Linked DNA regions of Drosophila melanogaster. The protein of the gene in region 2 interacts with the protein of the main gene of each other region in a pairwise test. Each region holds a gene or a part of one and is shown on either strand. Other genes may lie near its edges. The genes, in order: Gp210, CG4270, Set2 and CG15198.

What was found.
Region 1: the proteins of CG4270 (region 2) and Gp210 interact in a two-hybrid assay, tested with the Drosophila melanogaster proteins (one large-scale study listed by BioGRID).
Region 3: the proteins of CG4270 (region 2) and Set2 interact in a two-hybrid assay, tested with the Drosophila melanogaster proteins (one large-scale study listed by BioGRID).
Region 4: the proteins of CG4270 (region 2) and CG15198 interact in a two-hybrid assay, tested with the Drosophila melanogaster proteins (one large-scale study listed by BioGRID).

Annotation. Positions count from the first base shown.
Region 1 is NT_033778.4:5,758,427-5,767,435, forward strand, and holds the start of Gp210 (glycoprotein 210 kDa), read left to right. Parts: upstream 1-2,435; 5' UTR 2,436-2,481; coding exon 2,482-2,636; intron 2,637-2,707; coding exon 2,708-3,767; intron 3,768-4,167; coding exon 4,168-5,535; intron 5,536-5,594; coding exon 5,595-6,345; intron 6,346-6,404; coding exon 6,405-6,722; intron 6,723-6,753; exon of another isoform or gene 6,754-6,893; intron 6,894-7,061; coding exon 7,062-7,193; intron 7,194-7,253; coding exon 7,254-7,453; intron 7,454-7,513; coding exon 7,514-7,777; intron 7,778-8,026; coding exon 8,027-8,152; intron 8,153-8,264; coding exon 8,265-8,370; intron 8,371-8,858; coding exon 8,859-8,980; intron 8,981-9,009. Other genes in the region: CG7791 (uncharacterized protein), read right to left, coding at 1-1,104, 1,158-1,687, 1,752-1,886.
Region 2 is NT_033779.5:2,259,723-2,267,179, reverse strand, and holds CG4270 (uncharacterized protein), read right to left. Parts: upstream 3,739-7,457; 5' UTR 3,623-3,738; coding exon 3,425-3,622; intron 3,365-3,424; coding exon 3,138-3,364; coding exon of another isoform or gene 3,134-3,137; exon of another isoform or gene 3,095-3,133; intron 3,084-3,094; coding exon 2,996-3,083; 3' UTR 2,939-2,995; downstream 1-2,938. Other genes in the region: CG34049 (uncharacterized protein), read left to right, coding at 1,869-2,408, 2,471-2,697, 2,760-2,913.
Region 3 is NC_004354.4:13,409,287-13,418,323, forward strand, and holds the start of Set2 (SET domain containing 2), read left to right. Parts: upstream 1-3,955; 5' UTR 3,956-4,180; coding exon 4,181-8,233; intron 8,234-8,304; coding exon 8,305-9,037. Other genes in the region: CG1998 (uncharacterized protein), read right to left, coding at 313-463, 528-982, 1,056-1,231, 2,066-2,139, 2,976-3,130, 3,201-3,410. UniProt on the Drosophila melanogaster protein: Histone methyltransferase that specifically trimethylates 'Lys-36' of histone H3 (H3K36me3). Represents the main enzyme generating H3K36me3, a specific tag for epigenetic transcriptional activation.
Region 4 is NC_004354.4:11,243,897-11,251,252, reverse strand, and holds CG15198 (uncharacterized protein), read right to left. Parts: upstream 3,018-7,356; 5' UTR 2,845-3,017; coding exon 2,476-2,844; 3' UTR 2,368-2,475; downstream 1-2,367. Other genes in the region: CG44422 (uncharacterized protein), read left to right, coding at 3,786-4,506.

The DNA.
Region 1 (9,009 bases), on a different chromosome or scaffold from region 2:
TAATGATCCTGTACTGAGCGCAAGGTGTCTGTGCTGCTTTGGCCATGCCGCGCCGATGCTCCGTGATATTCCTGGTCCAGCGCTGAGTAGAAAACCTGAAGTTGGGTCTCGCTAGCGGCGAACAGATTCTTGGAAGCACACAGGCGTCTTAGCATGTCCTCGGAAATGGGTTCGTGGGTCTGAAAGTGGCGGGCGAAGGTTCGCAACACACGGGGATCGCCCGCAAAGTACTCCATGAGCACACTGGGGACCTCAGCGAAGTCCGTGGAACAGCGCGTTCCCGTCACATGCTGATGCTCGGTGCGAGCTAGCATCGAATGCATTGCGTGACCCATTTCGTGAAACAGGTTGTCCAATCGCGCTGGTGACAGAAGCGTCGGTCCACTCCACCGCGGTTGCGCTAGACCCAGCATGACCACCACCACGGGGAGCTGGTAGGAGCCGTCCGGCATACGTTTGCCGCCCTGGATGGTGAAGTGACAGTCCTGATTTGGCTTCCCCACTCTCTCATAGAAGTCACAGTAAATGTAGCCTAGCAGTCCTTCCCTCTCGTGGACAACGGCGAGCTTGTAGATGTCGTTGTGCCAGGCCTCGCCTGGCTTTAAATCTGTGTTCTGCAAACGGATACCGTAAAGCGCGTGTAGCAAATTGTCCAGACCTTCCATGCAACCACCAAGAGAGAAATATGGCAGGAACTCGTTGGCGTGCTCCTCAAATAATTGCCGCCTCAGCTGGTTGGTATAATACGGCGTATCCCAAACTTCGGCTCTTGCATCCGCCTTCCCGCCTTCACGGCGTTTCATTTGTGACATCAGGGCGAAATCGCAATCTGCGCGCGGTCGCAGCTTTTCCGACAGCTCGTCGATAAACTCTCGTACCACTTCGGGTTTCTCCATCGTGCTACCTTTGAGTGCCCGGTGTGCATATGTATCGAAGCCACAGCTACGCGCCAGTTCATGCCGGCAAAGCAGTAGGTCTCGGAGAAGATCCTCCTGGCTCTTTGACGGCTGCAGGTACAACCGGTAGGCAGCCTCCCGCATCTGAACGTTCTCTGCGTTTGTGCACAGTCCAGTGATAATTACATTTTCCCCAGAGGTAGGAAAGCTGACAAAAAAAAATCTTTAGTATAGCCCAGATAGTGTTATATGTGAACTTACTAGTTACGAAAGGACTCAGGGACTTGGCTGCGTGGAAGAACACTAGGTTGCACAGCTCCACTCATGAACTTCTGGCCGAGCTGAAGAATATAGTCATTTAGCCGCACAACACGCATACGTTCCTCCTCGGGCAAGTGAATTCCACACTGCTCAAAGTCGAAAAGGAACAAACGCGACACATGTCTGTCCACTTCGCTGGTGGGCAGCTTATCTCCATGATCCACTACGTGGCTTAAAGCCTTATAGATGGGCTTATGCGTGTTAAGGCTCTCGACCATTCCGCAAATGCTTATGCAGGCCTGCTCTGCTGCTTGGGTGTATCTGCTCTGAGGATGCGCGATACGAACAAACTCTGCGAGGTCCGCCACCTTGCACAATGAGTCAGAAAGCTCGTCAAAAATGTCGACCATCTTTCGACGTCGTTGATCGGAGGTGGCCTCGGAGATCAGCTCCTGCGTCCGGCTTTCCACATTGTCTCGAAGGAGATAGAAGCCCTCAAAACTCCGCAGTTCGGGCATGCCAAAGAGGCCCTACGGGAAAAAGGCCATGTATGCCTAGTCAGAGGTCCTGCGTTTTACAGACTTTGGGTCTTACAACATCGTCGTGGGTGAAGTTGATCCGCCTAGCCGGTGGCGCATTAAACGCCGTAGCCAGCGGCGTCCACGTAGAGACTCTGCGACTGCAGTGCCGCGTTCTCCAGCGCAGCAATGTTCGACCAAATTCTAGCATGGCACTTCCCCAATTTCGGATCACTTAAATTGCTTGTTTATAACGAAATGGTTACATGAGAAGTCAGCTGCCGGTGAAGTCAACCCGATGTTGCCAGACGTTTTGCTTTTCGATTACAGACATCAATTAACTGCATGTGCAGCTGTATAGAGTTGAGTTGTGTTAACAGTATTTTTCTAAAGCTGTCACCAGTTTAACTAGGATTAGTTTAGATATTACAGAAAAATAAATGTTAATTAAGCTTAAGCGAGTCCTATTTTAGGAATACAAAAAGAATAATATTCCTATTAAGACTGAGTTGCAGGGTATCCCGAAAATGATGTTATTTGATAAATATTTACAAGCAAAAACCCAATTTTATTTGTAAATAAATATAATTATAAAAAAAGCTGTTATACGTAATATGTAAGTCTTCGTTTAACTTGAGGTACAGATATACAACTGATTATGATTTACATCACATATAATAAGTGATATATTGGTATTTTTGAAACCCGTATAATATAATTTATCGATAGTTGATATTTGCGATATTGTCATTCTTGTCCATCCCTATCCAGCATCTCGTTCCGCGCGTGGCTCGTTTGCCGGCACGATGGATTCTATTCTTTGCATGATTTTGCTGATTTTGGTAAGAAATCATGCTTCTGAGGCAGCTAGGTTGAACCACCCGCGTGTGTTACTACCAATATTCGAAGACAAGGCAATAAACTTTACCCTGGAAGTCGACGAGCCGAACTGCTACAAATGGTAAATCGGCGTCATACAGATATAATTTTATAACTTCTAGAACTACTACTACTACTATGCTGAACTTGCAGGTCGTCCTCACGCCAGGACTTGATATCTGTCATGCCCATTTACAAGGGCTTCAGCGAATGTGCATACCAGGCGGTGGTGACAGTCCGCACTCACGATCGTCGGAGGAACACTGCAATCGTCTTCGCCGAGGAAGTACAAACGGGCGAGACGCTGCGTTCCGACGTGATTGTGGATGTCATTGCTAGTCTAAATGTGCGCACCGCCACTCGACAACTTTACCTGGAGGAGGCGCCCGCCATGTTCGAGCTGCACGCCTTTGATGAACAAGGCAACGAGTTTTTTACCTTGGAGGGAATCGAGTTTGACTGGGAGATTTTGGAACCCGGTAGCAAAAGGCCCACCGCAATGCGATACCTCACGTTCACGGACAGTCCGTACCACACTGTACCGCCCACCATTGAAAAGTTTGAAGCCGACGGCAAGAAGGGGCACATGATCCTCCTTGAGGGCATTAATACTGGCACCGCCAAGGTGACCATCGCCATGCCTCAGGCCGAGTACAAGCATGTGCGGCCAGTTGAGGTGTACATCAGCGTTCTTGCAAACATTATAATTGAGCCTTCCGAAGTCACCATAATGGCTGGAGACTCCGTCTCATTTCGCATTCTGCAGCTGAAGATGGACCGACTGCACGTTATAGACAACAATCAGTATTATTTGGAGGTGGAGGACTCCAGCATTGCATACCTTCGTGGAAACAGTGCCACCGGAGCGGCTCTGGGTCGCACCCAGGTCTTTCTGCGAGACCGCAACATGGCGGACTCTGATGAGGTCCAAAAGGGACCCAGCGCTCTATTGACTGTGGCATATCCGAATAGGTTGTCCATCAGTCTGTTGCCCCATCTCAATTGGGTGACAGTACAAGGCGAGCATCACGCTATAGCATTGGATCTTTTTGCTGCCGACGGTCAGAAGATCACAATGGGCACTAAATATTCAATCAACTCAGAGGTGGATGAATCCTTTTTCGCCATTGTTGATCGTACTCGCAACGGAAGCCGCCTTTTCGGTCAAGCAAAAAAAGAGGGAATCACTCAGGTGTATGGCTCATATAAAGACGTAAGTTTATAACTAAAATGTTTGTTATATATATTACTCTAGAAAATATGTGCATAGATATAACCCATTAAAAAGAATCGCGGTATTATCATATAATTAGGCGTTTGTCCACTTCTAAAAACTAAATATTATCTAACAAAAAAAAAGCCATTAATTAAAATTTGTTTTTATTGCTTGCCGACCGCTAAAAATAATTCATTTCGTTTGCCCACCTCTTTTATAACGAAGTAAATAAAATATTAAATAAGTCAAATAAATATCTATTTTTATAAAGTCAACCGCAGTGATATGTAGAATTTTAAATTGTTTGCATTTTTTATAGAAGGTTAACTCAAAATAATAGTCCAAAAGTCTATTTGTTATATTAAAAGTTCTTATAATATTGTTATTTATGTTGCAGCTGTCGGTACAAGCTGAGCTTCAGATATTTGAGGAGCTTCAGTTAGCGCCAACCAAGGTGGTGTTGCCATACGATCCTAACAGCTTAAAACCTTTAAAGCTGCAGTTTCATGCATCTGGCGGAGATAACAACTACGCTTGGTTCTCCGGAAATCCACAGGTGATCCAGATTGACACCCAGGGCCAAGCCACAACTGAAATCCGCGACGTGAAATCCGCTTACGTGAACCAGGAGGTACTGAAAGATGGTGGTAAACTGACCGCCCACACCACCGTCAAGGTGGCTCTATCCAAGAACCAGAAAATTTCCCGTGTGGCACATATCTACTTTCTCCCCCCTGAGCGCCTTCAGATCACGCGGAGCAACTTTGAGACCGCCCTGAAGGACTTCGTACACGTGCATGTGGGCGTATACGCTCGAATAAATAATTCAGAGGTTCCCTACACAAGTTGTGATAATCTTCACTTCCAACTAGACTTCAGCCAGCCCATTCTGCAGTTGGAGGGTAATGAAGGGGCGGAGGCTGCTCACGAGGCGTGTCATGTGCTTCGGTTGCGGGCCACCGCTGTGGGCACCACCTCGCTACGCGTTTCCTATATGTATATGGACAAAGTGCTTTACGACATTATTGATTTGTATGTCTTTGAGCCATTAGTCGTGCTAAATCCAATAGAAAACGAGGTTGTTCTTCCCGTTGGGTCATCCCGTAATATAATTTATGCTAATGGGCCGCAGCGCAGTTTTACGGTGGCAGCAGAAATCATACAATCTACCGCTTTTGATGAAAAAATATTAAAAGTGTCTAAATTAGAGTTCGACACGCAAAATTTGATAACTGCGTTCACCGTGCTGTGTCGTGAGCTGGGCGAGACGCAGTTCACTTACCGAGTGCATAATAGCCTTCCCACCTCAAGCTTTGCCTTATATCAATCGGAGGTGACCACAAAGGTGCATTGCGTCCGTCCTCGCTTCCTAAAGCTCTACGCTCGCCATAACCTGCGTGACTCCTGCCCCCTGGAGAAGCGCACCTCGTTATTATTCCTGAAAGATCCAGAGAATAAAATTGAAATTGAAATCGAGGTACACGATTCAAATAATCGTAGGCTCATGAATATCAGCTCACTAGGGCTTGACTGGGAGTTTTCCGCTGGTGAAGAGCGATACCAGAAGAACATTATCCCGCACCGTCAGATTTCTGAATTGGAGTTCAATCATGGAGTTACCCTGCCGAGTCGCGACCTTCTTGTCTTGACATTGAGTGAAGTGGCGACCAACTTCCGCATTAAGGGAACGGTGTCCCAGTATAACGACAAGCTACTTGCCCAACACGGTATTCACGCGGAGCGTCCTCCCTTTGGAATCAAAAATGTGGGTAATCCTCTTCAACGTTAGTAATCCGTAAAAATTTAATGATAATTTTTTTACAGCCTCAGACGGGTTTAATATACACTCCTCTGATTGAAAATGAAATTAGGTTACACGCCGTTAACAGTACGTTGTTGCCAAAAGATTACATGAGCATTTTTCTGGCCTCGGGCTATAGCGAGCGAATACCAATCGCCCAGGGCAGCGGCTACTTGCAGCTGGAGCTCTCCGAGGCAGGTATTGTTCAAGTTGAATACAATGAAAATACCCGAATCCTAGTGCTGACGCCACTACGCCTTGGCCATGTTCGTCTTGAGTTGACCGACCGTTGCTTAATGAACGAACCCAGCCATTTATCCATCTCTGTGGTTGGAATCGGGGCTATTGAGGTAGTTAGCATGGACCGGCTAGAACGCACTACTAGAATCGAAGCTATCGTAAGGCTTTTTGATACCAATGATAATCTCTTGCTTGTGGACCAGAGCAAACTTAGTGCGTACGATTTATCCGAGGTTGTCGCAGACCAAAGTATACTGAGCGTGCGCCTAGGCGAGCAGGAAAATGTAGGACCCGGAGAGATCCGCTACACAATTACGGGCAACCAAGTCGGCGAAACCAAAATATTATTTCAGTCTGGCAAGGGCATTTATAAGGTGGCAAGCGACCCTCTAAATATTCAAGTTTTCGCTCCAATTCGTCTCTTTCCGCGCGACTCAACTCTAGTGGTGGGCAGCAGTATACAGGTGTACTTCCATGGAGGACCGCACCCAAATACCAACATGATAATCTCAGTGGAGAAGGAGCAAGTAGCAAGTAAGTTTTTTTGTGTATCATCTTAAAATCACGTAATCCCTTTTGTTTTTTATCGTCAGCTATAAGCTCTACTGTTGTTACGGCCCATAAGCTGGGGACCACCAAAATCGTAGGCAAATGTCTTCTAAAAAACCCTGTCACTGGAAAGGACGAGGTGGTCTCCCAGGACTCGGTGGAGGTACACGTAGTGGCTCTGAAAGGAGTACAGATTCGAACGCCTTTGGTCCGCATTCATAGTGGGGCCGTAATGCCAGCTACCTTGTGGGGTCTTTCTGATTTGTCGCCCATGATTTTGGGTACCTTGCAAAACACTAAAATCTCCTGGAAAGTAAGCCAACCACAGGTGGTTGAGATATTTAATGTATTTACAACTGCAGGTTAGTATACTTTTATCTATTGTTTAAAAATAAACGTGTTCGGATACCGCTGTAGAGATAAGAGACTGTAGCTCTATGGCCACCAAGAGCACGGATAACAAAAACAATGTATTCTTCGATGAGCCTGCCTGAATGAGTTTCAAAGCAGGCACAGATACGGAATATACAATAGTTTCTATGACTGTGATATTTGATGATGTGAAGCGCTTCCTTCCGCTTGTTACACATTTTTCAACGAATCTCTTTTGCAAAGAGTTTAGTATAACTTAACCTCTGCAATTGGATACATAGTTTCTATACATAACAAATAGTAATAAATTACGTTTTTTACTACTGCAGGAATAGAGTATCAGAGTGGGGATTTGATATCAGTTAGAGTAAGAGCCCTCAATCCTGGAAAGGCAACAATCACGGCATCGGTTACTTTGGCAGACGGAACAATACTGCCACCAGCTACAGTGGACTTACAAGGTACGTTCAAGCTGAAACGGCCACCTATGTCTACCATAATAATTAAAAATTGTATTGCAGTTTTTAAAACATTGGAGCTGGTAACACCAAATGCCATTAAAATGGATTCAATTTTGGCTGCGCCGCGAAGCATTCTTCAGCTTAAATCTAATATGGATAATGTGGTCTATAAACTGGACGATCGAAGTAATGGCATTGTCAGTGTAACACCAGATGGCCTTGTACACACAAAGGACTCTCTTGGCCGTGATCTGATAATTGTGAGAACCTGCTTTTCGAACCCTACACGGGAGGACTTGAATTTAGTATTTTTAATATAGGCGACGACCGCGGACCAATCCCTACCCATAGGAATTGAAGTTAAAAATGTGCAATACATTTTAGTAACGCTGATGCCAATCCTCAAATTAAGAGAGCTTGAACACAAAATCCCGCGTGGAATGAACTTTGTGTTTAAAGTGTCGCTTCACGACAATTTAGGCAACGAGCTGTCGCACAACATCGAGGATTTCAACGGACTACGATATGAACTCGGCAACAAAGATGATGTGGATGTCCAGATAGATAATAATCTAACGTTTGCGGTAAGTGTAATTAAGTCATATGATTGTAACGCTCCATCATTGCCATGTCAAATTGTATACTTTCCTTTCTCCAAGTAGTTAAAGAGAGCCCAATTTTTTTTATCTCAGACCAAAAAGTGTAAATTCATTTAGGTTTTAATTATTTGAATGAAAGGTTCGGCTACTTGTGTCTTAATTTAAAGCGAATACATTCGCATTTTAACATTCAAATGTAATTTATATTTGTCTGTTACACTCATTTTCGTTTAGTTGAACTTGATGCGAGAGACCAACAATGTCATTGGCATTAGTCTAAAGGACTCAACGGGTGTCAAGCACTCCATGGACTTCATAAAGCTATCTGTTGTCGAGTCGGACAATTTATTTCCCACCAAGGTATTTATTCTCCCAAATAAGTGGAACTTGCTTTCTTACTTATAAATGTTTTAATGGAACATCCGTCGTCTGTAACTTATTTGGCTTTGACAAAACTTTATCCAACCGGCAGACTATTTTCTCTGTTGGCGACATAATTTGTTTCGATTCACCTTTAACGTTGTCATCGACTTGGCGAAGCTCCAATGAGCAGATAGTTTACATTAATAAGCATACAGGTGAGTAATTTACTGCTTGCATTCACTTTAATCCCACCTTTAGTGAGCATTGGTATACCCTTGCATTTAAATCACAATTTTGGGACGCTTTTCCATAACGCCACTATGATGTTTTGGATTTTATAAAATATATATGTATATTCGTATCCATCTAGTCGAGTCTAAAATTTAAGCCTTTCTGTTTAAAACTCTTCAAAGGGAGAACTTCTCAGATCGATTGTATATATAAAATCACAAGTATTCTTTTCTTAACATCGAAAATGAGCGAAGCCGTCTACATCAAAAAACAAAAGGGAATGCTATAGTTGAGTTCCCCACCTATCAGATACCCGTTTTTCAGGACAAGACTGATAAAAAAATGAAAAAATATCAAAACATTTTTAATATGCGTGGGCGTTAGGTGGGCGTCGCACTCGCACTTTCTATCTTCACCCCAAAATTATTTTACCCACTAAGATACATAGTTTATATCCTCCTCTCCATTACAGGCATTGCCCAGGTGTTAAGTCATCGACTAAAGCCGGGAGAAAAGATTGAGATCACTAATGGCGACGAGACAAAACGCGGCGGATTTTTAAAGTATGACCTGGAAGTTCGCGAATCGGATACGGTATTGCATCCATTGTTACCACCTTTTGT
Region 2 (7,457 bases):
CCCTGGTTAACGGGTAAGAAGATGTGGTAGTGCGGGGTGGGGGGACAGAAATAAGTTACCCTGTCTGCTTAATTACATTGTAAAACTCATTGGCAGTCGGCAGGATTTATTGGCAGACAGTGCGATCCGAAGTTTTGGGTTTCCCATGGAAATTGCACACCTTTTGTTGTCCCACTTTCTTTTGTGGTAATTAAATTGAACTTTTGTCTGCGGCTTTTTGACAGTTGAACGCATTTAACCATTCGACGAGGTGTACAATGGCACAAAGAGTCCTGTGTGACGGCTGCGGAAACTAAGTGGTAAATGCGGCTTATTCCCTCAGGTGTTGAAATTTTAATATTAAAGCCAAAAGGATTTTCACTTTATTCGTATTTCACTCATCTTATGCCATATATTTTTGTAATTAAAATTTAATAGTTGCTTGAGTCTAATAGATTTTCCTTTTTTCCCCGAACTTCATAAACATAACCGCAACTAATTAAATATATTTATTGTAGGTCAACATTAAATTGAAATTTAATACAAAAAATGGGAAATTGTTAAAATCATTTACATAGAAGAATATTTTTTAACCGACCTAGCACGATTAAAAAAGGACCTTCGGTTCAGTAGCGCAATATATGTAACCATCACGTACATCAGGACACCAGAGGGTCCCTCTTCCTTTTTTGGCAGCTTGTGGAAATTAAAAAAAACCCAAAAAGCGCCATAAAAATTCATAGTATACTTTTTGGGGCAGGCCTTATGATCACTTCTTCCTGCTGGGATTTTGTTGCGAGTGTGTGTATGTGTGTGAATTTAAATTTTACCAATTTTTATGCTGTTGTTTTGACCGTTCCCATTTTGGTTGACTCGCTTTTGTTGCAGGCTGCTGAAATTTCTGTGGCATTACGCCAACCAACTTTGACGTGATGCCAGTAACACGTATATGTATCGTATACGTATCTGTCTGTGTGTCTATGGATATTTGCGATGGTGTGCTTGTCACTTGTTGACGGTGTGAAACTGAAGCCAACAGCGAAAGTCGCTTGCCGTTCGCCTGTCGCCCCTAAAAGTGGTTTATTGGGTTAACGGTTACGGTTACGGTTACGGGGGTTTCAATAATATAGCTCCTGCCTCACGGAAAGTGGCAAGTCGGAAAATGTTAAGGTTCTACGAATCAGTTTAGGTAGAATACCGAAAATTTGATTTCTCAGAGATTTTAAAGGGTATGGTTAATGACATTCAACATTAAATTATTCAAACGGTCAGAGAGTGCAGCAGTCATGTACAATATTTAAATAAAAAGTCCAATTACCAGTATTATTAGTTTGTATATTTAACGTAGTATTCATTACAAAGCCTAACGATCTGAACTCAATATCAATGAAAGCACGGCATGGAAATTGAATCATAAATATTTTTATCTCCATCAATTCATCAACAGTCCGCTAAAAAACATTCCCCCAAAACTCCGGGCGTAAAAAATTCCATTTTAATTTTCATGCCCAAGTGACAAACAGTCAATCAAAAAGCAGGCTAACTCGGTGGAGGTCAGAGGTCACGGGGAGAGGAGGGGAGCTTGCTGCTACCATAATTTCACCTTGACACCTTTGTGACCCGTCACCACCCGCTGCTCATACACGCCCCGTTGATATTTATGGCAGAAATTTAAAATTAATGATGTGTGACGCGAAATTGTCGCCAAAATAAACGGGAAAAAACAGAATTAATATTAATAAAAAAAAAGGAAAGCCAGGATAACGTGCGCTGGTGAAAGCGAAAAGTCTAGGAAAAAGCAACACCAGCCACCAGTCTCTTTAACTTCATATACAAAATAATTTCCAACTTACAAAATTTTCGATATTACTATGAATATATTAAATTAAATGGAGATTGAAAATAAAGTCCAGTCGGCAGAGAAATGTCCTTTGCAGATAATTCAGCACAATGACGCTACGTTTATTGGTTGCGATTCAAGCAACCGCGATTTGGAAAAGTGCCGCAGCTGCCTCACTTCCTTCTGCCGTAAACCCATTAAGATTTACCATAATTCCCGGAACTATCTGGCCTGCGAGGTCCAGAGATCACAATCTATAAATTCCATAAAGTCACTGCCAGTCAAATTTCCATCAACACCAAATAGATCACTTAACACAGAAAAGGATTGGTCGCATGGTAAAAGGTGTTTACAATGCGCAGCTCCCAAGTGCAAAACATCTTCCAGAAGTTCCATTCAGTCGAAAAAACTGAAAAAAGATAAGAAGTCTCTGTTAAAGGAATTTGAAATATACAAAATTCCTATCATTCGACGCAAGCCTATAAAACAAGCTGTACTAAGGGAAACCAATAAGTACCGAAGGCTTCACAACGCCAATCCCCTGAAAATGGATGAAAAACTTTGTTCCTATGCACAGGAGTGGGCAGATGTATGTAGATGTATTTAATATAAATAGATCCTTTCTTTTTCACCTAAACTTGATTTCCACAGCATTTGGCTGATCTGAACAAACTGGAAACTCGACCTAATCCTCTTTACGGCGAGAATATTATGCGTGTCCGGAGATCCAAATTCTCCGTGGATCAAATACTGAAACTCTGGTACCAAGAAAAATACAACTACGATTACTTAAAGCCAGGCTTTAATTTGTACACTGGACATTTTACCCAGTTGGTTTGGAGAGAGTCAGAGTTCCTGGGAGTGGGCGTGGCATGCGAGTGGGTTCATAATTTTAAGTCATACTAAAAATAATCCGAAACTAACTACATTTTACACGCAGTGTTTCCTCCATTTGGATTGTGTGCAATTACCATCCGCCTGGAAATGTAAGCGAACATTTCAGGGAAAATGTCCTGCCTAGAAAATTCCTTCTACTTAAATCGGACTTGGATGCCAAGGAAACTAGAAAATCGAAACATCACAATTTAAAATAGAAAATGGTAAATAAAACAAACAAATACTGGACCTAGATTACGCTTTTATTATGCTTAAAATTTTGATCAAAAAATCCCAGAGTTATTGCTTTGGCGGCACATTATCCTTGAACAAACCCACAACATTGCCGGGAGGATTGTAGTTGCAAACCACCCAAGTTCTATCCGCTCTATTGGAAGACATGTATGAATAGGATTACCATAGCCATAGCCATAAGACTCACTTTCGGGCCACACCCGAACCCATTTCCACCGACGACTTCCAAATGAGCTGAGTAAAGTGTCCAGCGGTGGGCACAAACTGCGCCTTGTTGAAATCGTAGCTATTGATTTCCCGATACCACATTTCCACCGGCAGATCACCGGTCACATCCATTCCACCGGAGAGGAAAATGTTTTCGCCGTACTTGGGATTGGGTCTGTGCGCCATTGTGTTCTGATCGCGGAGATGCTGGAAATGGGTGCAAATTAATATAAAATACTATAGAATACTCTTTATCCCTCATCCTACATTGGCCCATTCCTGAGCCAGCTTATTTAGTGCAGCATTAATGGTCACCGCGGGACAGCCGTGCATTGCCCGATATTTATTGGTGGTATTGAAGACCTCCTTCAGGAAGAGCTCGTTGTTGCCCTTGGTATCCTGACCCCTGGGACCTGGAGGGCGCTCGTGGGTTTTGGGAATGGGCGCTACGTTTCTCTTCGCCATATTTCTTTGGGGGATTGGCTGGCGCCGTGATTTAGTTAACCAAATTTACGTATGCCTAATGACTTTTTAAGCTAGCTGGCTAGATCAACATTTCTCGTTTTTAAGTTACAAAATTAAGTGGTTATTATACATGTATACAAGGCAGTCAATTAAAATTTTCACTGAGTTCTGAATAGCTCACCCATCAATCACAATGTTTTGTTTACAGCCGAAAAACCCTTTTTTCAAACCGCCTCATAATCTGGCCTAAACATCGGTATTAGCATTGTGATTGATACCGCAAACACAGGCTGTGGGTGACGGATTCACAGGACGTGTGCGTGCCCAAATCCATTGACGGGAATTAGACAGACTGTATCACACATCCTTCTTCTGCATCTGCCGATGGGATTAACCAACGTGACGTATGAGTGATGCATGTCACTGGGTTTGGTTATTAATGAGCCGGCGATTCTTTCGCAATCCAGCCATATGGCTGGATATGTAGGTGCAGGCAAATCGGGCAATTGGAGTGGCATTAATTGCCGACTGAATCGAGCTGGATAATGCGAGTTGGCCGACATGGAGGCCCCTTATCAATCGCCCGCAGCGCCGCCCATGGAAGTGCAAATTTCGATGTCGAAACACTCGGAATATTAAATTATTTAAGTGTGTGAGTGTGTGTCTGCGCTGCGGGTGGTGCTTCAAGTGTGAATCCCTAATGAGTTGTGCAAATGCAAATCAATGGACCGGCCGATGTCGCTGCTCCCGGCAGAGATTAAGCCGATGCTCCGATGTACAGATAGGCGGATACAGCCGCAGGACAGGCTGACTCGCTGAAATTATCCTGTGCGCCGCAAGGTGGATGCGGGGTCACAGCATTGCGTTTGATATACTCATGTGCCAGGCACTAAATTATGGCCCAGCTCATTGATTTATGTGAATTTGTGTACTAAGTACTTAAGTACTCGGCCATAAGCTTAAAGCTGGATAAAATAGTTTATTAAGCCGCGAATTTAAATAAGTATTAATGTTAATACAGATTAAAGCCAATTTGGTTAATTGGTAATATATAATTCAATCAATATCAAAGATTAGGATGAATTTCAATTCAATTAATCGGGAGCTCCCTTTTCCATTTCTTATTTTCATTTGCTCTATAGACAAAGATATTTTCGAAATGGATAAATGGCTCCATTTAAGCCGCTGGTAGAATTTCTGGTAATATTGTAATAAACTTTAAGCCTGCTCGCTGCATTTCAGGTTTCCATGGCCTCTGTCAGAAACGCGATGCACAGTCGCGTCATCCGCACAATGCACAATTCACAATTTCGGTGCCATCGGAGTTGGAAAATGTGTGGTTGGGTGGTTGGGTGGCTGGGGGATTGGGTGGTTCAGTGGCTGGGTGGCCAAATTGTTTGGGTTGTAAGCTGGCCACAGTCAAAGCGTAAAACGCAAAGCGCACACGTTACTTTTCTGTCGATTTAATTAATTTCGCAAATTTGGTTTCGTTTATTTATGCATTGCTGGTCGAGTGGAGGGTACAGTGCGCGCCATACGCAAAATAAATACACTCGCACTCTTATTTCGAGCATGCGGGCATTATATACATAGATGGTATCTGATATATCGTATCTGGTATCTGGGCAAACAGGCTCGCATTTCCATCAACCACACGGCATCCGGAGCCGGATGCACTCGGTTGCACATACGGATACTGCCTTTAATTCCGATTCCCATTGATTCGAATTGGTCATGTTTTGGCATAGGGTAAGTACCGCACAAAAAATGAATGCACAATTTAAAAAGTTCATTCTGAATTTGAAGCCAAACAATCTCAACTGCAGCCAATAAATGTATTCTTGTATTCCAGCAGATTTCATTGGTAGCATGCGTATTCCAATGTCGTTAAGCTTAAGTATTCCCAACGATTTCAAATGTTATAAGCTTCACATTCCACACCTTTTAGTATCACTTACTCTTTAAATCCATTAACAAAGTGCCAAAGGTTAATGAATAGCTTTTCCGCTTTTCCACTTACCGCCCACCTGGAATTCAATTAGTCGGATGCCATTCCAGTTGCCTTTGACCCTCGGTAATGTCAATTAGCGATAAAATGCAACAGAACAGAAATAAGTCACTGAAAAATCGAGCAAACAAAGCTCAACGAGAACTCCTTGAATCCTTGATCCCCGCGAAGGGCAGTCAAATGGAAATTTTCCATCTAAACGACATAAAATTTGCTACCAAATCGGTTTATGGCAAAGCGAAAAGTTTTTTTTTCGAACATCTCCGCCGCCCTACCAAAATTGTTTTTGGGCCAGGATTGCTATCGAGCGACTTAAAACTACAACAACGAACAATTTTGGGTTCGTTTCTGCGAACCACATTCTCATGCACGACTTTTTGGCGGAAAAATTTTTTGGAAATTGCATTTGCATGTGTGCGCCGGCAAAGTCTGGCTGGCAGTCATATTTTGCGCCTTTCGGCCATAAAAGCTAAAATGTTTGCGGCCCAAAGGAAGGCAGCGGGAGGAGGAGCAGGACGAAAAAGTGGATTACTAACGGTGGCCGCCGTCGCCAAACTTCAGGACTCTGCCACTCAGCTGCGTGCTACTTTGAGCCACCACTACACTTGGGAGATTTATTGTAGGTTTTAATATAAAATACGTATATAAATAGATTGGCATTTTATTAGGAAATTAAACTCATATTTAACCCATTTAAAATGAGCTGTAATAGAAGAAACTGAACGCACACACTCGCACCATTTTTCGCAGTGTAATAAAGCTCGATTGGTCTCCCTCTGATCCCCTGCAATCCGCTGTCACTGTGCCTCCATCCTTTTCGGCTGAATCCTGGGCACCGAGCACCTGTCTGCGATTTCTGAGCGCCTGTTCGGAATGCCACCTCCTCCGCAGGGGGAAGTGGAGGGGCTCCAAGGACTGGATGTTGAAAGGGGCGCCGCATCGAAATGCCCCCCCTTTGTCTATTCAATTGAGCGAGTTACAGTGGCACGGAGATCGCCTTTCCTCCGGCTAAATGGCGCTGTTTCGCCTTTTTTATTGGCTTTGCCTTTTGATGCAATGAACTTGGCTAAAAGCTATCGCGTCAATCGGTGGTGCAAATTTTCCGCCAGCGAGCAAAGTGGATGTGAAAAGTGCGTCGTATGTGGCGACGGATGGAACCAGATGAATGGCACCGGATTTAAGCACTATATGCTCGGGATTTTTTCATCAGCTGGAAATGTGGATTAAAAGTGGCCCATACACACATAGTGAACAAATAATAATAAGCCTTAATCTCGTAATACTCATGACGGCTGTCCAAAAATTACATCGTTTTTTTAACCGAACTTCGAACCTTTTGAAAGGCCATCATTGGCAAAGGCAGCTGCCAGTTTTTATTGAGCTCATCAAATGGTTATAATTCAATTTTTCCAATCGAGGAAATCGCAGCACGAATCGCTGTTCGCGTACGTTTAAATAAATGGCGATGGCCATAAGCACCGCGGACACGCCCTCGCCGCCCCCAAAATCCCAGCAATTTTCACAGTTTCCATGGGATGCCAACTCCCGAAACGAGTGAAACAATCGTCCATTTTCAAGTTGGGCCATAAATCATTGTGGCATTGCATTTGGTTGCATTGAAAGTTTCCATTTTCCATTTTCCCTTTGCCTTTTGCGTTTTCCATTTAGTTAGCAGCGAAAGAGTGAGGCGGGTTTTTTGAATTCAGTTGACATTGCCACATTAATCATACGCACATGCAGCCAGTTCGAAATGTTTCTTTAAAAGCCCAAGAAAATTGCTGACGTTTATTAAAACAATAAACAAATCATGTTGTTGCGTTGCCCGAA
Region 3 (9,037 bases), on a different chromosome or scaffold from region 2:
TTAATTATTCGTATATAAAGTACGCTTATGTTTGTTTAAATATCGACTTTTTTTCGCGAACATAGAACAGAAAGATGCCATACATTTACATTTACGCTTTATTCGACTCGATTAACATTTGTGTTGGGGGGTGGATTCGCTCTGGGAGCGGTGCTCGCGGTTGTGCGGAATACTAGGGGTGTGTCTGCACCATACGTCTATATATGAGGTGTACAAAATAGGATCTGCCTGGTCATATCACAATTGAAATTTGTATACACAGATTGAGAAATGCTTGCTGCCCATGCACAAGAGAACTTTCACTTCGCCGCTTTACTTCATCGTCGGATCGGGGAATGCATCGCGCGGCGGCTTGAAGCTCAGCATCATGATGTGTCGCGCATACGACTTGGTGGCCCGGAAAAGGGAATCGGTGCCATGGAGGCGATCCAAGACGCCCAGCACGCCGAAACAGTTGTTGAATCTGTCGGTTGGCAAGGAAAACAGCATATTAGCCTAGTTTATATCACTAGTTGCCAATCAATTACTTTAAATGGTGAAAATCATGCGCCTCGGGACTGGGAAAGAACGGCAGATGATAGCCGGAGTGGGCGTTGAGTGTTGAAAGGATGGCCAGGGCGAACCACAGCCACGCGGTGGCCACATGGCTGCCCATGAGAAAGACGCCCAGGAAGGGCGGCAACAGGTTGCTAAAGATGTGCTCAATGGGATGGCAATAGATGGCCGTCACCGAGATGGGGGCCGTCCACTCATGATGCTGCTTATGGATGTACTTGTAGATGTGCTTGTGGTGCAGCAGACGGTGCGAATAGTAGAATCCCAGCTCCTCCATCAGGATGCACACGGTCAGCTCAAAGCAGACCCAGTGGAATGTGGGCAGGTCACGAATGTCGCTCAGTCCACGGATCTCCATTAGTCGATAGCTGGCATAGGCCAATGGTATGCCCACGAATATCTGGTTGCAGACCACGCACCAGATCACCTGGAATTCGGAGGGGTCAGACAGTGGGATCAATTGAATATAAATTTCTCGATCGATCGATCGATTGCATTACCTTTAGCAGACGACGAACCTCCACGGGCTCATTGGTGCCCGGCTGGATCTTGTACTTGCGCAGACAGGCGGGCCGATTGGTCAGGTCCATGAAGGTGTACAGTGTGCCCACGGTCCAGTAGACGAGCATCGTGAATATGGTGGTACCGAAGACCCAAAGAACCATGGGCTCGTCGCCTGGAAGATTTGTTTATTTCAAATTGAATTAATAGCTGGCGATAAAAGAGTCTATAAGTGATGCCTTAAAGTATGCAAAGTTATAATTGGAATCCAAAATTTAAATAGATGCATAGTGAATTGATTCATATGAGAATGGATGTTATTAAATCTATAAATGTATAAAGAAATATCCAAGCAACAGCTGGATATAAATCATATGTAGACCGTAAAAAAAAGCAGGCAAATAAACCCATAAAGATAAGTGGCTTAAGTAAAGTTCTTAACGCAATGAATCGTGTGAATTGTAAATTGTAAACGCTGTAAGGAAAATGCAATAAAACGGGCCTATGAACCCTGTTTACTCAGCTTCTGACTTTGAGCTTAAGCAAAATCGGTTAACCGATGAGCCCGGAACATTGAGCCCATTGTGCAATGCGTGAATTAACGTATTTACTCTGGCCAAACAGAGTTATGGTTAAATAATAAGTGTGGCTAACCCGATTGGGGTGTGTGAGTACTAAACATTTGTTTGCTGAAGAATTCAAATTTGCGTGAGTAACGCGGCGATTCATTTCGCCTAATTGGCAGCACTTCTGGTTGCATTTGTATCTGTATCTCTTGCATGTGTCTCTTTGTATCTTTGTGCCCGTATCTCTGTGTCTGTGCGATGGAATTAGTAAACAAAACAGTTGTTGTTGACATTTTGCTGTGTCGCCCAGTGGCTGAGAGTTGCAATTTGCACAGTATCGCCCATGTACACAATGTACACAAAGAGAGGAGCAAAGTTTACCTGTCAACTTATCCATTCTTTTACCCTTTGTTTTGGATATGATACTTGTTAGATTCACTTACCGAACGAGTCGATGAATTTGTCCCACTGCGACTGCCAGAAATCACCGGAGGCTCCCCAAAAGCTCTGCAGATGCCTGGCATAGATATAAGAAACCTCCATGAATTTATCCTCCATGGCTCGTAATCTCAGTGTGTATATGTATATGTTCTGGTTCTTGCAGAATTGGCTTTCTCCCGATTCTTCGCTCTCTCTCTCTCTCTCTCTCTCGCTTTCTTCACGCAAATCGCGTGTCTTCGCTGCTGAGCGTCGCAAAGGCAACTGGCGATTTTGATCGCAGGGAAAAGCGCAGCTCACAAAACCGAAGCTCAACTTAGTTCCACACTCTCGCCAAAAAAAAAAAATGAGAAAGAGAGAGTGTGGGGAAGAAAGCAGAAAACCGAACTTTGGATGCCCTTCTATGTCGTTTGTGATCTAGAAATCTATGGTATGCTATGCTAACCTCGTTCATAAAGGCAATTCGAGTAGATTTTCGCCTTAGAAAGCCTATTTCATGATTGCACTTTCAATTTGTCTATTATTCTATAGCAATGAAGAGTATACGCTTAAATAACTAAACAAACACGCTGATTACTATTCCGTTCTCTTCACCTGGGAATATAGTGAAATCTAATGCAACTCTTATATAATGGTCCACTCTGAGGTCACAAGGGCTATCGACTCAGAATGCGGATTTTAAATTTTGCATTTTTGAGCAAAAAAAAAAAAAACAAATTATGATATCAATAAGCTTATAATAATGCAATCATTGCCCCAAAACTATTTTCAGCTATTATCTTTACTAATTGGGTAAGTTGGCCCAGAAGCTTCCATTTAGATTGAAAATCTGTGTGAAAATTACTAAGCCCTAAACGAGGAGAGGTGCCAGAAGGCGGGAGAAAGCGGACTCCCGCCCAGAATCCCGATAATTACCAGGTGAGCACGTTGCGGAACAGAATGAAGGCGGCCAGGGCGCAGGTGATGATGAAGATGACGCTGTGCAGCGAGGACAGCCAAACGTCGGCGGTGCGGGCGTCATCCCAGTTTTGCAGCGGTGAACCAGGCAATGGTGTCTGTTCCTTGGCATTCTGGGGGATCAGGGGATTATTAATTATTATTATTATTAGTATAGAGTAGATGTGATTCCAGCCGGCTTACATCATTCAGGTTGAGGTAGACCGGCGGCAGACCCGCCTTGTCCTTGACGATTCCACCGCCCAACGAATAGGAGGAGGAGGATGATGATGATGAGGAACTGTTCCCAGAGCTTCCCGCTTGCTGGGACACCGAAATGGGCGAGGATGCGGATAATGAGCCGGATGAGAGGCCCATGCTATTTGGCGGTTTTCCGTGCACCGGATTTGACATATTTACGTCTTAATCTCGAGTAGTTTCCCGGTTTTTCTTACTTTCCTTCCGAAACTTTCCCAGTCAAGTTGCTCTCTCGCTCTCTTCGTAGATTTTCCGTTGCTTTCCTATTGTTTTTGTTGTGGCTTTTCCGTTGTCCTTGACATTTAACGCATTTCGATTTTTCGATTGTTTGGCAGCCCATGTGCGTGGAATTCGAAACGAATTCGGCCTGCTGGCAAGCGCACTGAATAAATAATAATAATTATAAATAATTGTTAACTTTGCAACATGAAACGTTTGTACAAAACAAAAAAAAAGTGCGAGCGATTATTTTTGAATTTTCCTAATCAAGCTCTCTCGCTCTCTCTCTCTCTATCGCTATCTCGCACGCAGTGTGACCATGCCAAGCATGGCCAATAATATACCACAGACTGAGCGAGGACATCTACCCTGTACGTAGCCTAGGTACTCATCCCGAAAACAAAATCTCGCTTGGCAACACTGCGCGCAGTGCATAAACAACAAGAAAGAAGAAGACCGCCGACGGAGAGAAAAATCGAAGTTGCATTGGTATTGGTGTCTCGCCGTGTGCATGTGACAGCAAGTGCAGTTAGTTTCTAACTAATCGTTTCAGGGATTTGGGATGGCACGCAAAGAGTAGATATCACTGCAAATCGGACACAAATCTGCATCCCCCGTCGTTGGACTGCGCGATTTAGCATCCGGAGGCTGCGGCTAGCCCGCTGCGCTACACCCGCCGCACCACCCCGCCCTCACTTCGCCCACAAATGGAGGAGTCGGGTCCGCCAAGCAATCCGTCTCCGGTTGCGTCACGTGGCCGCGGACGTGGTCGCCCGCCGAAAGTGGCGCTTTCCGCGTTGGGAAATACGCCCCCGCACATTAATCCATCGTTAAAACACGCCGATGCAGAGGCATCGCCCACGGCGCCGGAGGATCAGGATTCCGGACAGAGCGAGTGCCGGCGCAGTTCGCGCAAGAAAATCATCAAGTTCGATGTCCGGGATTTGCTAAACAAGAACCGCAAGGCGCACAAAATCCAGATCGAGGCACGGATCGACTCGAATCCCAGTACCGGCCACTCCCAGTCAGGCACAACTGCAGCATCCACATCCATGTCAACAGCAACAGCATCAGCCGCATCTGCATCCTCAGCCGCGACCGTGAGCCGTTTGTTTTCCATGTTCGAGATGAGCCACCAATCATTGCCGCCACCACCACCGCCGCCAACCGCCCTCGAGATCTTCGCCAAGCCAAGACCCACACAGAGTCTGATTGTGGCCCAGGTTACCAGTGAACCATCGGCTGTTGGTGGCGCACATCCTGTGCAGACGATGGCCGGCCTGCCGCCGGTGACACCTCGCAAGCGGGGTCGTCCCCGTAAGAGTCAACTAGCGGATGCGGCCATTATTCCAACTGTCATTGTGCCCAGCTGCTCCGATTCCGATACGAACTCCACCAGCACGACCACTTCCAACATGAGCAGTGACAGCGGCGAGCTTCCTGGCTTTCCCATACAGAAACCCAAGTCCAAGTTGCGGGTCTCACTCAAACGCTTGAAACTGGGCGGCCGGCTGGAGTCCTCCGATTCGGGGAACTCGCCATCGTCCTCTTCGCCGGAGGTTGAGCCACCAGCACTCCAGGATGAGAACGCCATGGACGAACGGCCAAAGCAGGAGCAGAACCTGAGCCGAATGGTCGATGCCGAGGAAAACTCCGATTCCGACTCACAGATCATATTCATTGAGATCGAAACGGAGAGCCCCAAGGGAGAGGAGGAGCAGGAAGAGGGACGGCCAGTCGAGGTGGAACCACAAGATTTGATCGACATCGACATGGAGCTGGCCAAGCAGGAACCAACTCCCGACCCGGAAGAAGATCTAGATGAGATTATGGTGGAGGTGCTCAGTGGGCCACCCAGTCTCTGGTCAGCGGACGATGAAGCCGAGGAAGAGGAGGATGCGACAGTTCAGAGAGCCACTCCACCGGGAAAGGAGCCTGCAGCGGATTCCTGCTCTTCAGCTCCACGGCGCAGCAGGCGGTCAGCGCCGTTGAGTGGCAGCAGTCGCCAGGGGAAGACTCTCGAGGAGACCTTCGCCGAGATAGCCGCTGAGAGCAGCAAGCAGATCCTGGAGGCGGAGGAATCACAGGATCAGGAGGAGCAGCACATACTGATAGATCTCATCGAAGACACGCTAAGTGAGTCAGAGGTTACGTCGTCCGTGTCGCCCACTATCGAGCACATGGTGGTGGAAGAAGTCGTAGTCGAAGAGAACCAGTTGGTGGATGAAGCGGATGAAATCCTTGATTCCAAGCAAGAATTTGTCATTAAAAAAGTATTTTCAGAGTCAGACAATATTGCTGCAAGCTTGAACAAAGACATTTTCGAGCCAAAAGTGGAAACTAAAGCTACGTGTGGCGAAGTGGTCCCACGGCCAGAAATGGTCACCGAAGATGTTTATATTACAGAAGGAATTGCTGCAACTCTTGAAAAATCAGCCGTAGTAACAAAACCAACTACAGAAATGATTGCAGAAACAAAACTATCCGATGAAGTCGTAATAGAGCCGCCACTAAAAGATGAATCCGATCCAAAGCAAACGGAGGTAGAACTGCCCGAATCGAAGCCAGCAGTAAACATTCCAAAGTCCGAGCGAATTTTATCCGCCGAAGTGGAAACGACGTCGTCTCCACTTGTGCCGCCAGAATGTTGCACCCTGGAAAGTGTAAGTGGACCGGTACTATTAGAAACATCATTGTCAACGGAAGAAAAGTCGAACGAAAATGTAGAAACCACTCCATTGAAGACTGAGGCAGCGAAAGAGGATAGTCCACCGGCCGCTCCGGAAGAAGAGGCATCGAATAGTTCGGAAGAACCTAATTTTTTGCTAGAAGATTACGAAAGCAACCAGGAACAAGTAGCTGAAGACGAAATGATGAAGTGCAACAATCAAAAGGGGCAAAAGCAAACACCGTTGCCAGAGATGAAGGAGCCCGAGAAACCCGTCGCCGAAACTGTGTCCAAAAAGGAGAAGGCAATGGAAAATCCGGCCAGGTCTTCGCCAGCAATTGTGGATAAAAAAGTACGCGCAGGTGAAATGGAAAAGAAGGTCGTAAAATCCACGAAAGGGACTGTTCCAGAAAAGAAAATGGATTCGAAGAAATCTTGTGCAGCCGTAACTCCTGCTAAGCAAAAAGAGAGTGGAAAATCTGCAAAGGAAGCTATTTTGAAGAAGGAAACTGAAAAGGAGAAGTCTTCAGCAAAATTAGATTCGTCATCACCTAATACACTGGATAAAAAGGGAAAAGATACTGCCCAATGGTCACCTCAGCTCCAAACTTTGCCAAAGAGCAGTACTAAGCCACCACAAGAATCTGCACCGTCAGTGATCTCGAAAACCACATCGAATCAACCCGCACCCAAAGAGGAACAACATGCAGCAAAGAAAGGTCTTTCCGACAATTCGCCACCATCGGTTCTCAAGGCCAAAGAGAAAGCTGTGTCCGGTTTCGTTGAGTGCGATGCCATGTTTAAGGCAATGGATTTGGCAAACGCCCAGTTGCGTCTCGATGAGAAGAACAAGAAAAAGCTGAAGAAGGTGCCGACCAAGGTAGAGGCACCGCCAAAGGTAGAACCACCCACCGCCGTGCCTGTTCCTGGGCAAAAAAAGTCGCTGTCTGGTAAGACCAGCTTGCGCAGGAACACCGTCTACGAAGACTCACCCAATTTGGAACGGAACAGTTCTCCCAGCTCCGATTCCGCTCAAGCAAACACTTCGGCTGGCAAGTTGAAGCCATCGAAGGTCAAAAAGAAGATTAATCCGCGACGCAGCACGATATGTGAGGCAGCCAAGGATCTCAGATCGAGCTCGAGTAGCAGCACACCCACTAGGGAGGTGGCCGCCAGCTCGCCAGTTTCCACCTCATCGGATTCCTCATCGAAGCGAAACGGATCCAAGAGAACCACGTCTGATCTGGACGGTGGCTCCAAGTTGGATCAACGACGGTACACCATCTGCGAGGATCGTCAACCCGAGACCGCCATACCAGTACCGCTGACCAAGCGCCGCTTCTCGATGCATCCCAAGGCATCTGCGAATCCGCTGCACGATACCCTTCTTCAAACGGCGGGCAAGAAGCGGGGCCGAAAGGAAGGCAAAGAGTCACTGAGCCGCCAGAATTCGCTAGACTCCAGTTCGAGTGCCTCCCAAGGAGCACCGAAAAAGAAGGCCCTAAAGTCTGCAGAAATTCTAAGTGCGGCGCTCTTGGAAACTGAGTCGTCCGAGTCCACTTCATCGGGAAGCAAAATGAGCCGCTGGGATGTGCAAACCTCGCCGGAACTGGAGGCTGCCAATCCGTTCGGCGACATTGCCAAGTTTATCGAGGACGGCGTGAATCTTCTCAAGCGCGACAAGGTGGATGAAGATCAACGGAAGGAGGGGCAGGATGAAGTGAAGCGAGAAGCCGATCCCGAGGAGGATGAATTCGCGCAACGGGTGGCTAATATGGAGACCCCGGCCACAACGCCTACCCCATCGCCCACGCAATCGAATCCGGAGGACTCAGCATCCACCACGACTGTTCTCAAGGAGCTTGAGACCGGCGGAGGCGTGCGCCGCTCCCATCGGATCAAGCAGAAGCCGCAGGGACCACGCGCTAGCCAGGGCAGAGGTGTGGCCAGCGTTGCGCTAGCACCAATCAGCATGGACGAGCAGCTGGCCGAGCTGGCCAACATCGAGGCCATCAACGAGCAGTTTCTGCGCAGCGAGGGCCTGAACACTTTCCAGTTGCTAAAGGAAAACTTCTATCGTTGTGCCAGGCAGGTGAGTGATCGATTGGGTTCCACACGATCCGCACTAGAACTTCATCCATTCCATAATTTCTGTGCTTTCAGGTGAGCCAAGAGAATGCCGAAATGCAATGCGATTGCTTTCTCACTGGCGACGAGGAGGCGCAGGGTCATCTAAGCTGCGGCGCCGGCTGCATCAATCGAATGCTGATGATCGAGTGCGGACCACTGTGCTCAAATGGCGCGCGGTGCACCAACAAGCGCTTCCAGCAGCACCAGTGCTGGCCATGTCGCGTTTTTCGCACGGAGAAGAAGGGATGCGGCATCACGGCGGAACTGCTAATACCGCCGGGTGAATTCATCATGGAGTATGTGGGCGAGGTGATCGATAGCGAGGAGTTCGAGCGCCGACAGCATCTGTACTCGAAGGATCGCAATCGTCACTACTATTTCATGGCGCTGCGAGGAGAAGCCGTCATCGACGCCACCTCCAAGGGTAATATCTCGCGGTACATCAACCACAGTTGCGATCCGAATGCCGAGACGCAGAAATGGACGGTCAACGGAGAGCTACGCATTGGTTTCTTCAGCGTGAAGCCTATTCAACCCGGCGAGGAGATTACCTTCGATTACCAGTACCTGAGGTATGGCCGAGATGCGCAGCGTTGCTACTGCGAGGCAGCCAACTGCAGGGGTTGGATTGGAGGTGAACCGGACTCGGATGAGGGCGAGCAACTGGATGAGGAAAGCGACAGCGATGCTGAGATGGACGAGGAGGAGCTGGAAGCCGAGCCGGAGGAGGGCCAGCCGCGCAAGTCAGCCAAGGCAAAGGCGAAGT
Region 4 (7,356 bases), on a different chromosome or scaffold from region 2:
ATGTACATACATGGTGTCCTCGACAGGGATGCCAAAATAAAACCCAAAAAAAAAAAAAAAAACAAATCAGAGCAGAGCTGATGAATGCTTTCACACAATTCAACTAAGATTAAGTTCAATACCGAAAGGCGTTACTTTTTACTTGTGCACTCTAAGGTTAATTATAAATAAATAAAAATATATAATCATTCAATGGGTATTGCAAATGTTAATTCAAGTAAATTAAATTCCAAGTATTCTTACGCAAAGATACGTTTACATAAGTTTTTTTTTTGCTCCTATATAAATTATAGAATCTACTTTTTAAAAATGTTGAAATGTTGGGCTAAAAGTAAATGGTTAACTGCTTCGAGTATGACCAACTTTGCAACACTGTTCGGTTGCAGCATAAAGGTTGCAAGGTTGGCGGCATAAAGTGTTCAGCTCCTTGTTGCTGTTCCTGCTGCTGCTGCTGCTGATGGTGCTGCTGTTGTGCAGTTGCATAAGTCTATCAATAAATAATAAATTTTTACTTCATTGAATTTGCAAAAGCAATACGTTCGATAGACTCCAGGCCGAACGCACCGCACTCCTGCAGCGCCCCAAACGATTGGGCCAAAGGATGATGTGCATGTGAATGTGGATGCTGCTGCTCCTGCTCCTGATCCATTTGCCAGTTGCCAGCGAACCATAAATGATGCAGCTGCAGCTTCAGATGAAATCCATCGCAACGGCTTGCAAATGTACGAACGAATTTCTTTCCAAAAATAATGCTCCCCGAATGGGATTCCACTCGAATCGTTTATTGTTGAACAGTTAACGGGAAAACTCTTTAGCCGCCGAAAATTTAAGTAACCAACTGGCTTTCTTAAATAATTGGCATTCAGCCAATGATCCATTGCTATGATATAACTAACCAAAGGATTTCTGAAACACCACATTTTGCAAAAAATTCATACTTTCAACTAATTCAATTTGCTATAACTTGGCCAAAAAAGGTCACCCATTCAAAAAAAAAAGTACTTTTTTATACAGCTAATAAATCAAAGAAACGATTTCTATGACCATTTTGTTAATTTGATAAAATAAATTTTTTTCAAATTTTCAGATTTTTTATAAGGGGTAACATCATCATTTTTTGCGAAAAATTGACAAAAAATTACATTTTTAACTGTGAATGCCATTCGAAAGGCAATTTTATGACGAGTTCAACGAGGTATGGCATTCCATGTTTGGATAAATAACTTTATTGCTATGAACAAAATAATGATTATATTTTGTTGAAAAATTGGTGTTTCATTTTGGCAAAATGATGATTTTTTCGAAGAATTCAGTTTGCTATAACTTGGCCAAAAATGGTCACTTATTCAAAAAAATTACTGTTTTATACAGCTAATGATCCAAATAAACGATTTCTGTAACCGTTTTGTTAATTTGAAAAAATTGATTTTTTTCAAATTTTCAGATTTTTTATAAGGGGTAACATCATCATTTTTTGCGAAAAATTGACAAAAAATTACATTTTTAACTGTGAATGCCATTCGAAAGGCAATTTTATGACGAGTTCAACGAGGTATGGCATTCCATGTTTGGATAAATAACTTTATTGCTATGAACAAAATAATGATTATATTTTGTTGAAAAATTGGTGTTTCATTTTGGCAAAATGATGATTTTTTCGAAGAATTCAGTTTGCTATAACTTGGCCAAAAATGGTCACTTATTCAAAAAAATTACTGTTTTATACAGCTAATGATCCAAATAAACGATTTCTGTAACCGTTTTGTTAATTTGAAAAAATTGATTTTTTTCAAATTTTCAGATTTTTTATAAGGGGTAACATCATCATTTTTTGCGAAAAATTGAAAAAAAATTACATTTTTAACTGTGAATGCCATTCGAAAGACAATTTTATGACGAGTTCAACGAGGTATGGCATTCCATGTTTGGATAAATAACTTTATTGCTATGAACAAAATAATGATTATATTTTGTTGAAAAATTGGTGTTTCATTTTGGCAAAATGATGATTTTTTCGAAGAATTCAGTTTGCTATAACTTGGCCAAAAATGGTCACTTATTCAAAAAAATTACTGTTTTATACAGCTAATGATCCAAATAAACGATTTCTGTAACCGTTTTGTTAATTTGAAAAAATTGATTTTTTTCAAATTTTCAGATTTTTTATAAGGGGTAACATCATCATTTTTTGCGAAAAATTGAAAAAAAATTACATTTTTAACTGTGAATGCCATTCGAAAGACAATTTTATGACGAGTTCAACGAGGTATGGCATTCCATATTTGGACAACTATTTACATTGCTGTAGGAAAAAGACTGATCATTTTTCGACAGACTATAGAAAAAATACGAATGGATTATTTTTCTGGGCCTTTTATTTTTGTATTTGGGGCTAGCTTGGTGTTGCGAGTTAGCCTATTCAAATAGCCAGTTGGTAGATAAAGCTTTCTGATCCAATGTGAACTTCCTCTGGTTCTAACCACAGCCAGGACCATCGATGCGAGCGCCCTCCATGCAGGGATACGGCTTGCATGTGGTGTTGTTGGAAGACGACGCACCCTGATCCCCTCCAGTGCCCGCTGCTCCGCCCATACGAGCGGCGGCGGCCAGGACCTCGACGGTGCTATATATGTTGGCCACGATTACCATGCCGCCCGCAGCTCCGCTGGGCAAACTGTTGGGATCCGTTGCATCCGTTGGAGAACCATTGGTGGTCGTAGTAGTTGGCTGACAGTTGGGTGAGCATTGCTGGCCGGGAATCTCGGGAATGGCACACGCCTTGCTGGGATGTGGGCCAATGTAGAAGGGATTGAAGGGTTTGTCGTCGGACTCGAGGGTTTTCATGGTGATGGTGAGCGCAGCAACGTTTAAACGGCAAAGGTAGAAAATGTGGAAAAACACGGAGTTATTCACACGGAAAAATTTTGAATTTTTTTTTTTTTGGCTAGTTTTCCGAACTGTTCGGTGTAAGGTTTGCCCCAATACTGAACAAAAGTCAACCACACGGATGGTTTTATCTATGCGAGTTTCATTGCGAGGCCTACTTACTTGGGATAACAAATGTTTAATTTAGTTGTAATATTTTGCATAAATTTAATAGGTTACAATGTGCGTTAGCATCTCAATCGATGTGCATTGGCAACTTAGTTAGCCGCAATTTACTGAGAAGGCAATTGTCTAGTTTAGTGTATCATTTAGTAAATAGGATTAAAATGGGCTAACAAGTGCGCTTACAACAGCTTTATAATTCACATACGCACACACACGCACACACATACGCATGCACGCATACTAACAATGCAACGCTGCTGGCAAATGGAATAAATGGAAATTCCTGGAAATAGTTTTCTTTGTTATTTACTCTATTCCGATCAAATTAAGATAATTAGAAAATAATATGGGAACACGATAAAGTACCCAGCTTCGAAAGCATTTGGTACAGTTTGTTTGTACTGTTTTTGGGAAACTAATTAATTCCCAAATGAAATTAAATTAAAGAAATTGATCGGTTTAGAGACCTAAATGCCTTAGTATCGGAACTAACATATATATTCTGCTCGATTTTACTCGCTTCTCGCAGATGCGGCACCGCTTAACCCCAATCTGCCTAACAAAGTGACCGCCGTAACCATGTAACTGTCCAATATGCTACTAAAACCACTAAAACCAGCCAGCGACAATTAAAGCCAGCCGCTAGAGAGGATCGGGAGCAGGAACAGGAGCAGCAGAAGGAGGTGGAACTCTAGCCGCTCCAGCAGTACATAACATACACTGAGAGAAACATTATGGCCGGGCCACAGGTGCAGCACAGCCAGCGACCGAATAGCGCCTACTACACGGGTCTAAATGGTGGTTCCGGCAGCGGCGGCGGCGGAGGAGGAGGAGGAGCTGGAGGCGGCGGCGCAGGTGGTGGATCCTCCGCCGGAATGTCAAGCAGTGCATCGCACACCGGACTGCATGCCCTGCGCCAGGTGAGCAACGAAACGGAGCTCATCTATCGTGGAAGCCACAGCAATGGCACCGTCAACGAGCTGCCCTCGAGCGCCCAGCATCACCTGCTCACAGGTCGAGCGGTCCAGCAGCACCAGCAGCAGCAGCAGATGCATCACCAGACGGTGAGCAGCATCGCTGGCACCGGATCCAGTGTCACAGATGCCCTCATCAGCACCATTAACTCCGGCGGTGGCGGTGGTGGTCCCTCCGGCAGCAGTTGCTCCACGGCGGCATTGGGCATTAAAAAGTCCAGCACGCAACGCAGCATCGAGATTATTGTGGACGCCAGTCAGTGCGGCAAGGAGCTGGTGGCCAGTGGTCCGGGTTCGGGTGCAGCGGGCTCGGGGGCAGCGATTGTCTCCACCCTGGACGTGGAAGATGTGGAGCAGGGCGGTGGCGGTCAGGAGTCCTCCTCCTCGCATAGGAAATCATCGCGCCATCGGCATCGACCGCTCCACCGGCGGCTGATCACGTATCTGCGGAACCTCTTCCAAGGCAGCACCACACAGAATGGTAAGGCAGCTTTTGTAAGAGGAGCAACTGCATCCACTTGGGCATTTCATGCATTTTCCTAAGCTTCTAGTTTTGAGCTAGATAATTTCTTGTAAGGAAAGAGGGAAACCCGAAACTTAGATATGTGATATGATTAAAGTACATTTGTCAGTTTCTTAAGAAGTTGTTTTGAATTATATTATTTCAATTGGTTAAAAAAAGTAGTTAAATTTAACCTTTTTAACAAATGAAAATTTAAATATTATCATTAATGATTTCTGTTTCTAAAGAGCGTTTTTTTTTTCACTGTAAAGTTTTAGTTTTTCAAAAGCACTCTTCCACTTTCACTTGTCACCCTCTGTTTTATATTCTTTTCAGAGTGTACTTTACATATTTGATTTTTTCTTTTTGATTTCTGTTTTTTTTCTTTCTGTGTAGCTGTGAAAACTCTGCTGGTTGCCTGGGGCTGCATCGCAAAGCGTAAGCGGCAATGTCTGTTCTTCACCCGTAGAACCCCTTAACCCTTACCCTAACCGCGCCGCCTTTAACCCGATTGTTGGCCATGACTAACCCCTGCCAAAAAACGTGCTAACCATTTTCAGTTTGGGTCAATTCATGGCCATGAATCCACAGCCGTTGGCCTGGCCGCGTTGCAGATATACATATTTTTTTTTGTTTTTGTGCGCATCTTGAGGTTGGCAGGCGGGAAAAAACGCTCGTAAAACGCGCCTGCGGTTCCGCGGCTGTTTTTGTCGCCTGGCCGAAATTTATGCATGGCGAACTTTTTTTTTTTTTGCGAACGAAAAATCATCAGAGCGTCCTTGAATGGATTTTCTATTGAAAATCTATTAGGCGTTTGCGGTGTATGTATTTTTTGTTGTTGTGGGCGACGCCTGAAGCTGGAAATTGCTTGGCCTCTCTCTATTGTGTTTGAAATTTTATTTACGAGTATTTCAGGACCTGTGAAAAAGTAATTTTAGATTTAAGGTGATTGCCGTAGGCCAAAAATAATTGTTAAAGATTAAATTGAATTTCATTTTGAAATTCTTTTATTGTTATAATTTTGTTTCCTCGCAAAAAATGTGCTCTGCCAACGCGGCGTATGATTTATAACATATTACTCATGCGCCGTGTTGCCATCAGCATAACATATTAAATTTCCTAAATATTGTTAAGTAGATTCACGAATTTGAAGCCCAAATCTGTTTGCCTGTGGCGAAGGCACAATCAATCAAATTTGTATAAGTTCTTTTATTTTTTTGGGAACCCTCAACGGATTGTCGAGCAAAACTTTTACATTGTTACTTTCCAATTCGATTCGATTTGATTTGATTTAATCTGAAGAGCAACGAAATCCTTCGCTTAACCCTTTTGTGTCTGCTGTGTCTTGCATGATTAATTATGGAAATTGATGGAGCTCCGGGTGCTCGTGCTCCCCAAGTTGAGATTGCATTGATTGTTTACGGCTCAACTATGAGAGCGGATCCCCTTTGGCTCCTTTGGCTCCTTGGAAGTTCACTCAGCCATCGAGTCCTTCGAGCAGCTTCTTTTGTCAATTTGCCCGCCCAGAGCTCTCCGTCTTCATCGTTGTTCATCCTTGTTTTTTGTCTGTTCCGCTTAGTTCCCTGCCATTCAGTATTTTCCCTATTCGATTTTCCCGCCCAATTTCCATCACCCACACCCCCACCCCTTTTTTTGCCATCGTACAAGAGCAGTTGGCAAAATGATGAGCTCAACATAAAAGTTGCATGGCTCATCCTGAAAATTGAATGCAGGAACGGTTGGAGAGGAAATCGATATGGAAAACAATATAATATTTGTTTGTCAGAGCTTTGGATTCGAATGTTTTACACTGAGATAAATATGGGGTTCATTTGATGCCAGAGTATCAAATACGTCGTCAAAGGTAAACAAAATAATGAGTAAGTCTTGTTTGCATTTACAAGGGAATATAAATATAAATATCTAAATATATCTATTTTCTATTAAATTGTATATTGAGTTGATGCCGATGGAAATTGTGGCAGTGGATTAGCGTAGCTGGCCATGGGTAACTGTTGACAATGGCAGTAGACAAGAAATCGAAACTCTCGGAGCACAGGAACTTTGAATCTCAGTCGCCCACACTTGACTCTCACCACTTTCGGAGAAAGTATTTTCGACATTTGCAATGGGCGACGGATTTGCAGCTTGGCCAGCGATGAGAAGCGGCGCAAAAGTTTTATTGAAAAAGTTTGATGAATGACAAGTTGGCTTCCTGCGAAAAGCAGCGACTCCATTGCGCCAGCAGCCCCCAAAAATAAGCAGCCAAAAGTCCACCCAACTTTCGGCACTCCATTTCTCATACCTCATACTCCATACCCAAGTGACAAATCGCTGGCTTATGTTATCAAATGACATGGCATTTAAATGTTATTTAAGGCCAGAAACTTTAATTGAGTTTAAAGCGCGCGCAAATTGAATTTAAATTTGTTTTAGTGGGCGAAACTTGTTTGGCGGCGAAATAACGAGCATTTGTGGTGGTCATTTGGCGGCAAATTGTGTACAAAATTGTTACAAATTAAATAAAAGGCTTATGGTAATAAAATATAGTTTATATACATATATTTGTTGAGTCATTAACAATTGAAAACGGTATTTCATTTAGTTATATTTTCCTATTGTTGTGCACCCACATCTCTAATTGATCTTACACTTTTTTAAGTTGTCCAATTCAGTTCTCGCCCATTCCATGGCTCCACATTCGTGCCCCAAAGTCAAGGACATTGAGAATCCTTCGTCAGCCTTGGCCGCGACAGGCATTTCAATTAATTACAAGAAGGGTGAAGCAGATGGGTGCTTCCATGGCCCGGGGGCCACGAGGGAGATCAG